2 linked regions of the Styela clava genome follow. Each later gene encodes a partner of the first gene's protein in a complex. Links are inferred from orthologs where the notes say so. Each region holds a gene or a part of one and is shown on either strand. Other genes may lie near its edges.

Evidence for each region.
Region 2: basement membrane-specific heparan sulfate proteoglycan core protein-like (region 1) and LIM and senescent cell antigen-like-containing domain protein 1 share a complex: the UniProt entries of both Caenorhabditis elegans proteins name them as parts of the integrin containing attachment complex. The link is inferred for Styela clava from reciprocal best matches to the Caenorhabditis elegans genes unc-52 and unc-97.

Annotation. Positions count from the first base shown.
Region 1 is NC_135251.1:19,815,019-19,821,981, forward strand, and holds the start of basement membrane-specific heparan sulfate proteoglycan core protein-like, read left to right. Parts: upstream 1-3,958; 5' UTR 3,959-4,150; coding exon 4,151-4,225; intron 4,226-6,963. UniProt on the Caenorhabditis elegans protein: Component of an integrin containing attachment complex, which is required for muscle development and maintenance. Probable structural role in myofilament assembly and/or attachment of the myofilament lattice to the cell membrane.
Region 2 is NC_135256.1:11,039,480-11,047,093, forward strand, and holds the start of LIM and senescent cell antigen-like-containing domain protein 1, read right to left. Parts: upstream 3,020-7,614; 5' UTR 2,726-3,019; coding exon 2,613-2,725; intron 1,385-2,612; coding exon 1,222-1,384; intron 1,085-1,221; coding exon 1,018-1,084; intron 428-1,017; coding exon 235-427; intron 1-234. UniProt on the Caenorhabditis elegans protein: Component of an integrin containing attachment complex, which is required for muscle development and maintenance. Probably function in adherens junction.

The sequences.
Region 1 (6,963 bases):
ACAATTTAGTGTCGAAGGCCTAGTTAAAGTCTTCTGTTTGGAAAACCTAAAATATTGATGATTGACTCAGCTGGAGTACTAACTGGCAAATATTCATGTTTGTATTTCATGTACGCTCAGTATCATACACATGCAAAGATAAAAAATAAACTCCGATCGCGTGAGAATGCAAATAAGTCACGATAACACGATCCAGTAGCGAAAGATCCCGCTGTGATATCATTTCGAACGATACTACTTCTGACATAGGTTCGTGTACAACCGTGGTTTTCAAAGTGCGTCGTTACAATTTTGCTCGGCGGTCGTAAAACTTTCTTCTCTTGCGGAATTATACCTGTTTTGCGGTGCGTAGCAAAAGTCTAATTATAAAATTGCACTGCAGAAATAAATGTACAAGCGTAAAAATGATACTGCACGAGAAAAGTCGAGAATTTTCGCAAGTATGATGGAAGCTACTTGTACTTAGTATCGTTGAAGTTCCGAGTAAAAAGGCTCCTTCGTTTTTGTTAGGTAACATGGTTTCACTGGCCAAATCCTTGCTACAAACAACACATTCCGGCTTTTCGTTGCCATTTTGTTAAACGGAATCGATATAAAAAATAATTATATTTCCTAAAATTTACCGAGTTTTTGGAATTTTTTGGATAAAGATTATCTTTCCTTGGTTGCGTACTCTCACCCCTTCTTCGTATTTATGTGAAACAAGCTTTTCTACCATGGCGTAATAAAGAAAAAATATCGATTTTGAGTAAATTTTGGAAAAATGTGTGCAGCTGTCACAATTCACCCCAAGGTTCAATAACATATAACAATTGTAAAAAGACGCAAGTACATGCACATTAAATGAGATTTTACTGACTTTCGTCAAGTTTTTCTTGTCCGTTTAAATCAGGGGTGGTCAACCTTTCACATACCATGCGCCACGTTTTAAACATAATGTTTCAGATGCGCCGTAAATCTCTTCATTCTCTTGTATTCCCACGCCTAATGTCCACTTCTTGTTGAAATTATATTAATTTATAATACACATACATATATACACACATATATGTAGTTTTTACAACTTCACATGAATAGAAATTAAGCAAGGAAGTATAATAAAACGCAAACGCAAAAATTCGAGCAATTTACGATAAACAGATTACGATTGATTACGAAACAAGGAACCATTGTGACGCCATGCTTCAAGTAAAAACTACAGCCTTTTTGAAAGTAGGAGAAAAACGCATTCTGTCTTATGAGCATTACGCAATAAATCTGTTTTTAACGACGAAGAGAAAAAGATACGATTAAGAAGCTTTTTGGCCTAGCGTCGCGTGATTTTACTCCAGGCTTCTTCGAGATTAGTACTTGCGTCACAGCAAGCGATTTTACGCTTCGCTTTTGTTGACAACGGTCATTTGAAGTTTGGATGAAAAAGGTGGTATTTAGGGGTCATTTTCAGCATGTTGTGGGTTGATTTATAATAAATTTTTTTGGCTTGGGCAATTCAACTGGTTGTTCAATGGTTATTGGGAGATATTTGGGGAGTCTGGGCAATGGAAAATCTATGTTTCAAGCTGATAAATGACGATTTTCTATTTTTCCAGAAGTTCTGAACTTTTTACTTCAGTAGGGAAAAAATAGTAAATTTTACTAACTTTTGCTGAAAGTCTAGAATGAATGTCATAAAGTCCGTCCAAAAGCTAACGTCGATAATCGCCTGTTGTTTCTAATTCCAACAAGCCGTAAGTGGGCGGCGTGGAGTAAGGAGAATAGATTTTAGGTACAATCAAAAGTCACCATGTAAATCGCAAAAAACGGCTTGGCGTGGAGAAGCCAAGTGCAATTAACAATTTTGGCATGAAAAGGGTTAAAGATGCAATGCGCCACCTCTAATCATGCAATGCGCCACGTTTGGCGCATGCGCCATAGGTTGGCCACCCCTGGTTTAAATGAAACTCATTGCAAAAAAGTTCTTTTATTGAAAGGTCATATGACGTTTTCATGGGGAGTCGCAACATAAGTATATTTTTCGGAGGGCGTCACAGTACAAAGAAGTTTGGGAACCACTGGTGTACAATATTGAAGTTGAAATAATTAAACATTTTCGATTTTATTTTTTATCCTCAGAGCTTCAATACGACAGCCTAACGTCAGCCAAATGTCATAGAAAGACCCGCTTGTTAGCCATATCATCTTATACACACAAGGTTTTATATATGATGGTAAACTATGATGATTCATTTAGAGCAAAGATACACTTACATTCGAGACAACTGAGCATAAAATAGGCGAGCAAGATATGATGGGATACTGCGATGATTAATTTCGGTTTCAAAGTTCAGATTCAGATACATTTGAGACGAACTTTTACACAAATAATTGCATTAGACTCTACAACAATTGTTATAACTAAAGCAGTAATACAAGCGATTGTCCTAACTATATTTCGTTTTAGGTCACTTTACGCTTCCTTATAGATCTGCTTCAAGTATATATATATATATATATATATATATACTGAAACTTTCCATTCATTTTTACCGACAATTGGCTGCCTCAATCGTACATCAGTGCCAAATTATGTGGATTTTCTATCAAACTCGATGTACTGATTAAGCTAGCAAAAATACCAAGTGTCATGGTTTGTAAAATCTCGTTTTTGGTTAATTTCATGAAAATTATTGCATTCGAATAATGTGGTGAATGAATATAGCTTATCGCCTGAAAAGAATCAATTATTTGTATTTTGATCTGCGTGGAGAATTGGTAACTACCTCTGATATTTACCAGCTAATTTAAGAATAATCAGTCTTGAACTATCTTTGTCCAGATGTGGGTAAAGACTCTACGAATGGACATTTTTTTTTAAAAATAATTAACGAAGCAATTTTGACAGTTATCACATTCAAATATTTTCAAATTTTGTTTGAAAACTCTTACTTATTTGTGGTTCATCCCGGAAAAGTATAGAATTTCTCATAAATTCTTCTTTAAATAACAGTAGTATAATCGCAATATACTAGATATTTCAAGGTCGGACGAAATGGGATTTATATTGACCCAGTACACGCCGTCGCCCATCAGGGAGCTAAATCTCAGCCTATTCATAAGACGGCGGCGACGGAGTTGCGGAACGGAAACGTACCGTCTGATCTGTTACCGGCGGACGATAAAGTACGTTCTCATCGGACGTTTACATTGCAAATATAAACGACGGGGCAAACGCGACTAAATAAACCAGGTTAACGTAGCCGCGCCTCGAAGAAGAAAAAACGGCGACGCGACGAAGAAAATGCTTGGCACCGTATATTTGGTCACACTTCGTGAGTTGTCGTCGACGGTGGCAGTTTACGACATTGTTAAAGCAGGATTAGTACGTTGTTGACCTCTATTGTATAAAGCTAGTAATACGGTCGCCAACATGGTGCTTTTGTGGCAATTCTCGAAGCCAGTTCAGTAGAAATGTAGCTCTTGTGCAACACGACAGACTAAATTCGTAGAGTATGAGTCAGCGCTCCAAAATAGCCTTCGCTATTATCTCATCAGCTGTAACTTTAGCATAGTCGACCAAGTTGCAAAGTACAATTCCCGTTGTAACGCCGTACAAAAATATTCTTCTTCCAAGCTATTCATTTCACTACAAATAAGCTAGAGTTCTGCTTTAGTGAATTTTCAGTTGGGATAGGTTTCGTAGTTTGAGGCTAAAAGTAGCGTAGTGTTTTATAAATCCATCGGCACTAATTCCCAGACATTTTCCGAAATTAATTGGCGAGTTCCTCAACGGTTAAGGCTTAATTAAGATCGCTTAACGATGTTATCTTTAATTTGATTTACACAGTCCTGTGTTGGTTACATCGCAGCAAGCACACTACCATAAATCCCGGCGAATGGAAGATAATTCTCCGGGCGTTCTCGGGAGTAAAACACGATATAAACGCTAGTCGAAGACTCAATTTTGTCAGCTTGAATTTTATATTATATATTTAGTTTTAAATAACCAGATAACGTAATTAAGTTAGGAGTATCGCCAAGAGGGACTCAAAATATAAAGTTCGCTTGTATGTTTTGTGATTAAGAGAAATCTGCTTACGATAGACCTTTTTATAATCAACAATAAGGATATAAGAGAAATCTAAGAAGCAATTACCAAGAGGATTTATCCGAAATGGATATGTTATGGCTTGGCGTTTTTGCCACATTGGCAATTGCCACATGCCTCGCCACACAAGACTTGAATTTGGTGAGTAGACTGTTCTGAGTAATTTAATTTAATCGGCTGCAATCTCTATTACAAAAGACTGGACTTTGACTTCCCATATAAGAACCCTTTCAACACATTTGGATTCAGGTTCCTAAATTGCATTTGCGATAACAAATGTTAGCCGATTTCAAGTGCCTTTGGATCTCGTACTCTATGGGCAATGGCCTCTGATGTATTGTGTCTATAAAGGATTACAAATCAAATCATGTTGGATTTCAGCTTTACCTATGTGTCCGTTCATTGAACAGTGCAACCAAGAATTTCTTCGCTCGTATGTTTTATTTTTAAACTTTGACGATTTCTAGCATTACGTATATAAACAAACAAATGATATAACAACATACATGACATGACCCTGGACATAAAGTCTTCAGTCTCGGACGACGACCTTGTTTAATGTGTGTATATGATCAAAGCTGTTGTTCAAACAGTTATAAAATGTAACCTATGATCGGTCACGGGGTTATATTTTGTGCGAGTGACCGACCACCCGAACTTTGTGCGGGATTGAGATTCGTGTTTCGGTAACGCTTGAAGTCTTAAGTAAAAAACAAACGTCATGTAAATATTTGGCTCTTGTGTTTTATGATTTTTTCTATTTTTGAACGCCTATCTGCATCAAAGTTGTATCAAAATAGTCACATATGTTGAAATATGATTGGTATTTTTTAATTTAATTTATACGGTTTGTCTTGTAAAAGAGCCATCTATTCTATTGTCGGTGGATTCTTTAAAATTTTCAATCTTAGTTTCTAAATCATTAGCGATTGCAGTAATAAATTCCAGGAGGTAAATGCAATTTTCACAACAAATGGACGTAATGGCATTTTCTCACGGTTTTAGATTCGTGGAAGGAGTTTTCTTTCAGGAGTATATCTTTGACTTCCCTGTCGATACGGCAAATAATTTCGATTATATACTTCAAACCCGACTCCCGCTTCGCATAACACAAATACGGTGACAATTTGATGATTGAAATAGAAAATGTTAGAATTTCATTTCTATAGTCTTGCTCTAGCATATGTAACAATGCAAACCGACCAGGACATGAACCGGAACTGCCGAACAAAAAATAATTTGATCGGCCACCCACTAACTCACACTTGGCAAATGAAAACCATCACACAGGGTATACTGAAATCATTCTGTAACGTTCTCCATAAATGTGAAAATCAGCTTGCGCTTTCGATTGGATTTACAAAAAATGATCACCGACAGTATGGCACCATTGGGTGTGTTGGGAAATAGGATTCAGTTATGTTTTGATTTGAACAAAATCGTTATTTAGATCTCTTTTCGTGATTACGCTCCGTTCTATTCAAATATTTCATAGTTTGTCTACTTGGTTTCATGCGTCGTTATGGATGGCGCAAGGTAATTTAAATTGACCAACTATGAAATTAATTATCCACTGTTAGTTTCAGATATTTTGTATCTACGTAATGCAAAATATGGAATTGCAATATAAAAATACAATATTGCATGATGCAGTTAGTGATAATTATAATGCCATCTCACAACGCCTCTGGTTTTAAATCACCATCAGCAACTGTATTTGCGCGTTTAAATGCCGGGTCCTGTGGGATTTTATATGTAGGTCATTGAAGAGCTGAAGCAGAAGCATGCTATTATTGTATGATATATAATCTAGTACTTTTCCTTTCTAGGCTCTAATTTTGATTATTTTTATTGATCTGCTTATGTACAAAGAATGTGCGAAACCAATGTGGTTTACTTACAATATAAAATAACCATGTCACATTTCGTGCGAATATTCCCGCAAAATTGCGCTTTCAAATTGTTCATTACAGCCATTAAAACGATGAGTCTAAATTGGAAACGGTATCAATGTAGGATGCTAGGAACGCTTGCACTACCGGATATATTTGACCACACAAGTCGACAAAAGACATTTTTCGAATGATCAGTTCGTGTATGCCTCTTCCATTCACAGCTCACTTTGGGCGTATTTCACGAAGCAGAAATTCTTTAATTAGCCTGCATGAGTTCACAGTTTAAAATATACTAACTTTTTGAACCCATCTTGCTGTAACTAATAGGCTTATATCCCTTATCAACATGCTTATCTGAGTCTAATCCATGCAACGTTGCGCATAGGAATGCTTACATTTACATCTTGCAACTCTGTCGATTTATTGATGCAAACCATCCGCTACTTTTATATTCAATAAAATTTTATATATTTATTCATTTAATCATGATTCTTGAATCAGATTTTGTAATACACCGTAATACAGAAACACAAGAGGTTGCATTTTCTGCTGCATATGTTAATAAATAAAAATGAAAAACTCTTTTTCAAGTACCAATAAATACAGGTGAAATTTTATTTTATTAAAAAAAGTTGATTGCAATGCCAACGCGTTACCAACAGAACACTAAGTTTTGCTTCGAAATATTGCTTAAAATTAGTGATTCATTCGTTCTAATATAATTATGTATTGAGAACATTTGTTGAACAATTATCACCAGCTTCCACTCGCTGCTGATAAGAGTCTCAGCAGAGCAATGACCATCCCCAAATTCAAAAAACTCCGAAACAAAATATCATGCAGTACTCCACAAAAGATAACTAAAATACGAGCATTCGATGTAGATATATAAAATACATGATGAAATGAGTACATTCATTATAATTAAACATGATAAAGATTAAAGAATCAAAACTTTTTGTCAGAAACTCAATATTTGGCTTG
Region 2 (7,614 bases), on another chromosome or scaffold:
CTCCTCAATTCAACAACAGTCGTTAAAAATTGTATATCAATTAATCAAGAAGGCACATTTTTAAGATTTGACAAGGGCACCATTTTGCGTAGATAGACAACTCGGTTCGGCATTGCCTTTCCAATTCTTCACACCATAGGTGAGATGGTGAAATGAAATATGGACCACGGGACATCTACATGCAATGCCCTCGCAGTTTACCAGTAGACCACCACGTGGCGCTGTGTTACTTACTGGCATTTTTGGCAAACATATTTTCCAAGTCCCAATGCCTTTTCTCTGTTGTGACAAGGCCTGCATAAACTTCTGCCCTGATTTTTGACAAATCCAATATCAGCAAGAGTGGCATCACATAGCTGGCAAGTGAAGCATGCAGGATGCCAATTATTGTTCATTGCTTTGATTACTCTTCCGATGATAAATTCCTCTAAATGAAAAAGATCTGGTTTAAAGGCATCCATTTCGAAACATGTGACTATTTTAAATGGTAATTTATTAATAACAATTATGGGTTACTATCCAAAGTAATTCAAGTCTTGATACACGAAAAATTACAGAAATTTATTTGTGTTAGTGAGCAGCAAGATCCTCCCTTGCTTTATATGCATAGGGATCCATCAACCCAAAAGCATAAAAGAAGAATAAGTAACTAGTCCCGTAAAAACTCAATCGAAAGCACAAATCATGGGTAATATGACTATCAAAAGCAAGTTGTTATAAGGTTAAAAATATATTATGTTGACTTCTGCTATATAGTTCCATCAAATCGGTGACTTCTTCATTGATATTTTAATTGTCATAAACTTCTCATAAACTAATATTACAAGTGTTATTTAGTTCATTAGCGAGGGGCAATAATCCGAATAATATTGCGATTCCATAATTTATAAATAAAAAAATAAATAAATAGATAAAAAAACCTATGACGTCACAAAAACTTTTTATAAGGTTTGAATTCCGCAGTACACCATGGTAAAGTGAATAAGATTTACAAGAACTGGGTGGAATAGAACTTACCACATTTTCCACAGCATGGTGCAAATAACATGTGAAAATCATGTTCACAATACTTTACTCCATCATACTAAAAATAAAATAAGAGAAGAGTTAAAAATTATACCAATCAGATATTTATGATTGAATTCGGAGTCGGACGACTTGTGACTCGCGATTAAGAGTTTAGGTACTTCTATCCATCACCGCTTTTTATATAATCTTTACCTCATAAAATAATCCTTCAGGAAATTTGTCGAAACATTGGGCACAAACAAAGCAATCTTCATGATATATTTCACCATTAGAATTGACCATTTGTTCTTGTTCTGAAAATCCTCTTTCACAACGAATACACACGGCATTCGCAAGCTGTATGGACATCATCACGCTAAAAAATGAAAAAAATAGAAAACATTACAATTATGAAAACTACATTTCTTGCTGATAAATGAAACAAAAGATTTTTCCGCCTATAGAAAGATGATAAAGCCGATTGATGGTTAGCAATATTAGTGTTACAGCTAATGAATAAGAGTACACAGCTTCGAGACAAAATAGGAATATATAAAAAGAAAAAACTTCAATGTTACTGTCTCAATGTGACCATCTTTCAGGAGGGATCATTTTACAGCTCTATGGAAAAAACTGTCACAAATGACAATAATTAGATTTAAAAACAATTAATACCATGAACTACTAATCAGTACAAACACTTTAATAAGTTTAAATTTTTGTAACTAAGATACCCAGACAAAGTTCAAATCTAAACATTTTTATATTAGCTGATACTTATCGAGATGTTTGTTAAATTTGATAAAAAACTTTTACTATTGCCAAATAGTTGAATCTTTCAATTGATTTAGATTAGACCAATATAAATAACAGGTTATTTATACAATGTTGTCAAAGAGTAACGTATCGCAGTAATAAAGCAATAGTGGTCTCTGGGCAAATGAATCATTTCTAAGTAACAGCTACTATTCCCTCCTTTACACCTCAGCTATCCAATTCACACCCTATGAATAAGCATCGGTTTCTAGCATCATTGAATTCCCTTTATATCTTCGCAAAAATCAGTTATATAACACAATTTGTTCTCAAAAGTATGCTAAAAGTATCATTCTCTAATTTTAATTTTAAATTTCATATTATGTTCATGATTAACACAATCATACTAATCCATATTACATCTTGTAGCACGAGTACCGCCTGTCATTTCGAAAAACGATATCAGTTAATTAAAAATTTGTTTTACGTCGGCTAAACATTGGCGTTGGTGGTTCTTCAGGCCTGAACGCAAACATGAACCAGCTTTGTAGCCATATCATTCACACCCGAACTCCATACAAGGAACGGAAAAACCTATCAAAACAAGCTACAATTCGACCGTTACGTATCACCAGGCGCCTATTGCTATAACGGCCTAATATATCGACATATACAATCGTGTTATAGATTACTAATCATAAACTCCCTTTTAATAATAAATTGATAAATTGTCACGAATGCGCCGAATCAAGACGATCGACGTATTTCCTGTCATATATTCCTAGACAAATCGCTCGACAGAAAACATATCAAAATAAATGCAAAATTGCGAGTAACAAAATAAACACCTTCCTTCTCCATTTACATGTGGATCCCTTGGCGACTCTTTCCTTCTCTGAAACAAATTGGACTCGTTTATTTCAAGCGTCATATTACGCGACTTCCCTTCCAAACTTGCCATTGGTTGAGGATTTGTTTTCACCGTCTCACTATGACCTCATACACCGACAGACGATGCCACAAAAAGTATTTATTATACAATTTTAACAGAGCGCCCTGCACGGGAAAAAACAACGGCTGCTAACTTTTTGATCGAGTATGCGCTTACAAGAGCTTCAAGAGGCCACACCTTCCCCGCTTTGAGCGTCGAGTAAATAAAAGAATTCGATGTTCCGTATCGTGGAATTTCGAAAGTCGAACGACGATATTGGGTTTGCGAAATAAAACTATCGTCGTAAATGTTTGCCTATAGGCGACAAGCGTCGGACCGGGATAACACCGACCTATCGCTTCAAACATGAACTAGGACAATAAAACTACGGTACGTTGTAACTAGATATCGGTATCTGAAATCTTTCTCGCCCAAAGCGCTTCATTAATTTTTAACTTATTTAATTCAGTTAAACATACCTTATCTCCCAATAAAACACTAGGCCTTTCGATCACTCGACAAAACGAAGCATTTTTAAGAAGCCAAATATGGCAGTTGACTCGCAGACAACGTAATAATTCACTTAATTAATACGTTATCGAAAACTATTAGACAGCTAGAAGAACTATTGCAGCGACATTTCGATTCAGAAATCGTAATATTGATATTCTGTAACAATCGCGCATGAGTTCGCGGCTTAAAGACAACTTTACAAAATTAGAGTTATTCAGATTCAATGCCGTGTCAACACGGGAGTGGGCTGTTTAAAAGGTGCTTTCAAGGGTGAGGATTTTGTGTGTGCGACGAAAGATATACAAAAGCAAAACATCGCCGATCATGTCTATAATTTTGCGTCGAGGTTTATCCGCATCACAACATATCAACTAATAACCGTTATTTCGTTATGCCGGTTCAATGTCGCATAGGAGTATCATTTTGGAAGTTTCACTGTTTTGGTATTATTATATTGAGTTATTATTAACTACAAATATGTCGTCAGGATTACTAATAAAGTCGATTGAGCAGGTGTAAGTCCTCTGCGTAAAACATAGCGTATATATATACGTATATACCGGCTGTATATAATTTCCAATATCGATATAAAATGAGCAATGTCAGCAAGAATAATAAATATAAAGAAACAAGTTTTTTTTTAAACTAGATGAAATTAAATGTTACTGGTGAATTTAAGAGTTTACCAAGGTCATAAGGTCACAAAACAAAATCTTGCTCAAAAGGTATAAGTTAAGTTTTATATTTTTCTTTTCCATTATTATCTGAAAGTTATTTATTTGCAAAGAAATGATATTGTAGTAACATAAAAAAAAGGGTTAATATATTATATTGAATTGATGATTTAACAGATAATGTTGCTGTCGTATCATTTAATGTCTGGTGTTGGTTTTCTTTTTATTGTAATTTTTTCCTATTCTTACAATATGTAAAAACTTAATTTGTGGTCTTCATGGATGGAAAAGAGCTACACAGCATGCTAATTTTTTGGTGGAATAAAAATTAACTTCATCATGGGAATTATTCGACAACTATATACTTGGAATCAACTCTACACCTTTAATGATATTTTGGATTGAATGGGAACTTATGAATTGTTTCCATTTTTTCAATTTTTCAAAAAATTAGTTTGAGCAATCATCTTGTAGAAGTCATTATTGGAATTTTTACAATTTTATAAGTAATCCAATGATGTTTGGGATATTTTCTCAAAGATTACACTAGTAAAACCTCAGAGCCTATTTTATTGAATGAGTCAACACACATGACTTGTGTAGCCTAAATTACAGCCACTGTATCTTTGGGTAACTAGGAAAAACTAAAAAATGACTCTGATCTGACTCGTATCTTTGTTCAGACTGAAGATTCTAGTGATAAAAGTAAGCCTTATAATGTGCCAATTTTCTTCATATCAAATATTTGTTCATGACAACATATGTTTTAGATTACATTTAGTAACTAAATAACAGGTCTACTAATGAAGTGCGAATCTCCCACTCGCCGGCTAGATCATATGGTTGGGGTTGATCATACGAAGACCCCCCCCCAGATTTGGGGGAGGATCTTCATATAATCTTGATAATAAATTTATCTAACATGACTATTATATACCAAATTCAATTCTCCATCACCAATACTCTGTCTTCGTAATTTAGAAACAATATGCCCCATTTTTGAGACATTATAATCTAAAACCTTATTCCAGACTAGTCATAATTGATATTCATTCGATTTGGCATTTGATTTATTCATTGTAGTTTTGGTAATTGGCCCAACAATTCATTAGATGTCGTATCTCCCACTGCAAATATCGAATAGGAATAGATTTGAAAGCCTATTATATTGAGCAGTTTTTTTAGTAGAAAGGGTACTTAGGTAACACAGAGAAAAAATCGATGATTTAGCATAAACATACCCAGCTCTTCCAGATTACGGTATAGCAGTAAAGATTACCTGAATCGACAATCTTGGTCTTAGCCAAAATGCTCAAGGTCTTTTTAAAGTGGCCAGTTCAATAAATAATCGGTGTCTCTAGTAAGATACAATTTCTATATTTGACTCCATCCTAACTTAAGTACTATAACAAAATTGGTCTTATTGGTAGCGGTTCATTAATGAAATAGTATGATTCAAAATTTGATAAACAGTCAAAGTTTGCTGCCCCACGCTGAAATACCCTTCACTTTAAGAGCAAAATTATGGTATGAAAAAACAACTGACAGACTGATGAAGTGATGCCTAAACCCCAAAAACATAAAATAAGGTTCTGCTGTGTTAATGAAATAAGTAAAAAATAGTTTTAATACTAACGAAAACAGATATTTAAAAGAAAAAACTCACCAAATTTCAACTTGAAAATTAGCCTGAGGAATCTTCCAGATGCTGCTCAATCACCAACACGAGCACCACCCAAATTCTAAATAATAAAGTCGTGCGTTAGGCAAAATAATAGCCGCGAGATGTCGTGGTGGGCATTTTTTCACACATCCACATTAATATTTAGGTAAAAATAAGGGAGGGAGACGTAACCGGTCAGCGTATACGTGAACAACCTACCCCAGTACTACGATGGCAAAAAGTGCAGCAACCTCTCGAACAGTGCTTAACACGATCCTCAGAGAGCCGCGCCGATGGGCGGCATAGCTTTACATATCAACATTAATTCCAAACGTTAAAATAAAAGTTGACAAAATTCACAATGTGCATAAGGAAAACGTGTAGTTCTGATAGGACGAAAAAGGATCGTAAGGCCACTTGTTGGGACCGAAAAGCTCTCGTATCGCTGTCCGGCTACGTTCAGCTTTTATCTGGTGATGTAATATTCACAAACTTACAACTGGGCACCTTCATATTATGAAAGAATTATTTGATCTCCATCCAACAGGAAAATCCTATAGTCGTTTCGGGTATATTTCGACACCAACAGCGATGCGTATAAATATACCGGCTAATTTATAATGCACATTACGCTACGTTTTCATTGTTAGTTGCGAATGAAATCTCTGTAGGATCTGATACACCAGGTTTCAATTTTTGCATATATGCTATTTTCATATGCCGTTCGGCCATGCCTAAACCATCACCATTATCACAACCTCGATCAGCTTTTGACGTACGGTGAAAGCGTTTTAGTCAGCTGACTGATAAACTAACTAACTATAACATCATAAGAGTAAATTTCTACTGAATGTCAAGCGAAAATATTTGTCCATTTCTAAGCTGAATGTTTAAATATCCTGTAAAGAAAATTATACTAGCAAATCAAGCAATATATTTTCATCACACTTAATTTTAAGCAATTGATTACAATTCAAATGATAAAAACAAACCAGAAGAAAACGTACAATGCTGAAACATGCGGGATTTGTGTATGTGGAAGTTTCACAGGTGAATTAGCAACATAGTGGCAAGTACCTATAACGGCAATTTAAGAAAAGAAAAAAAACACTGGTGTACCAATTAGCCAAAAAACAAAAACTGAAGAAACAAGGCAATTGTCAGAACACTTTTCAAGAGGGTGAAGACGTAAAATTGTAATTCAATGAGGCAAACATTTTGAAAATGAACACTTATCTGGCAATCATTTTGACACGCCACTGGTTGACATTGGTTATGAATAACCTACCAATTTAGGACCTGATAAATGAAGTACTTAACAGTATTTTATGGTAAAAACAGTGATAATTTCGGACACAGGTGAAAGGATTTGTATGTGAACACGAACATAGATGAAAACAGTGGACAACAATAATAAATGAGACAATAATGAATTCCGTTTAAAAGTGCTTAGTAAAATACATAAAAAAAATGATGTTATCATAATGAAGGTGACAACATGTTATTCAAGCACCACAATTATAATTATAAATAGGTAGTGACAACACATAATGCAATTAAAAGCAAAAAAGCAGTTGAATCTAGGATACATGAATAAAATAAAAAAGTTCAACTATTTAAATTTAACAATGAGGGTAAGAATATACATCACACAAGAGCTTGGAAATGAAATGACAATAATCGAAAGAAATTTATTATAGAAATTAGTTATTAATATTCTAATCAACTAATCAATTTATTTAGATTATTGGGAATTAACCATTAAGACTATCAGGGCTAGGTTTTAGCAAAACCTATCTGGTGATGATTTGTATCAGAGAAAACAGGAGTAAATTTGATTATGAATTGATTCACATTAAAGCAGTGGTTTTCAACTTTTTATGGTGGCACGGAACCCCAATGAAACAACCCAGAGGCTCGCAGAACCCCTGTACTATTATCCAACTATCTTTTATTGCCTGAATTGCATAAATATAAATATATTTAAAAGCAAACCTGATATTGGCAAAACAAAATGACTTACAAGTTGTAGCAAGTTTATCCAGAGTAGAAACCTAATGTTCAAACAA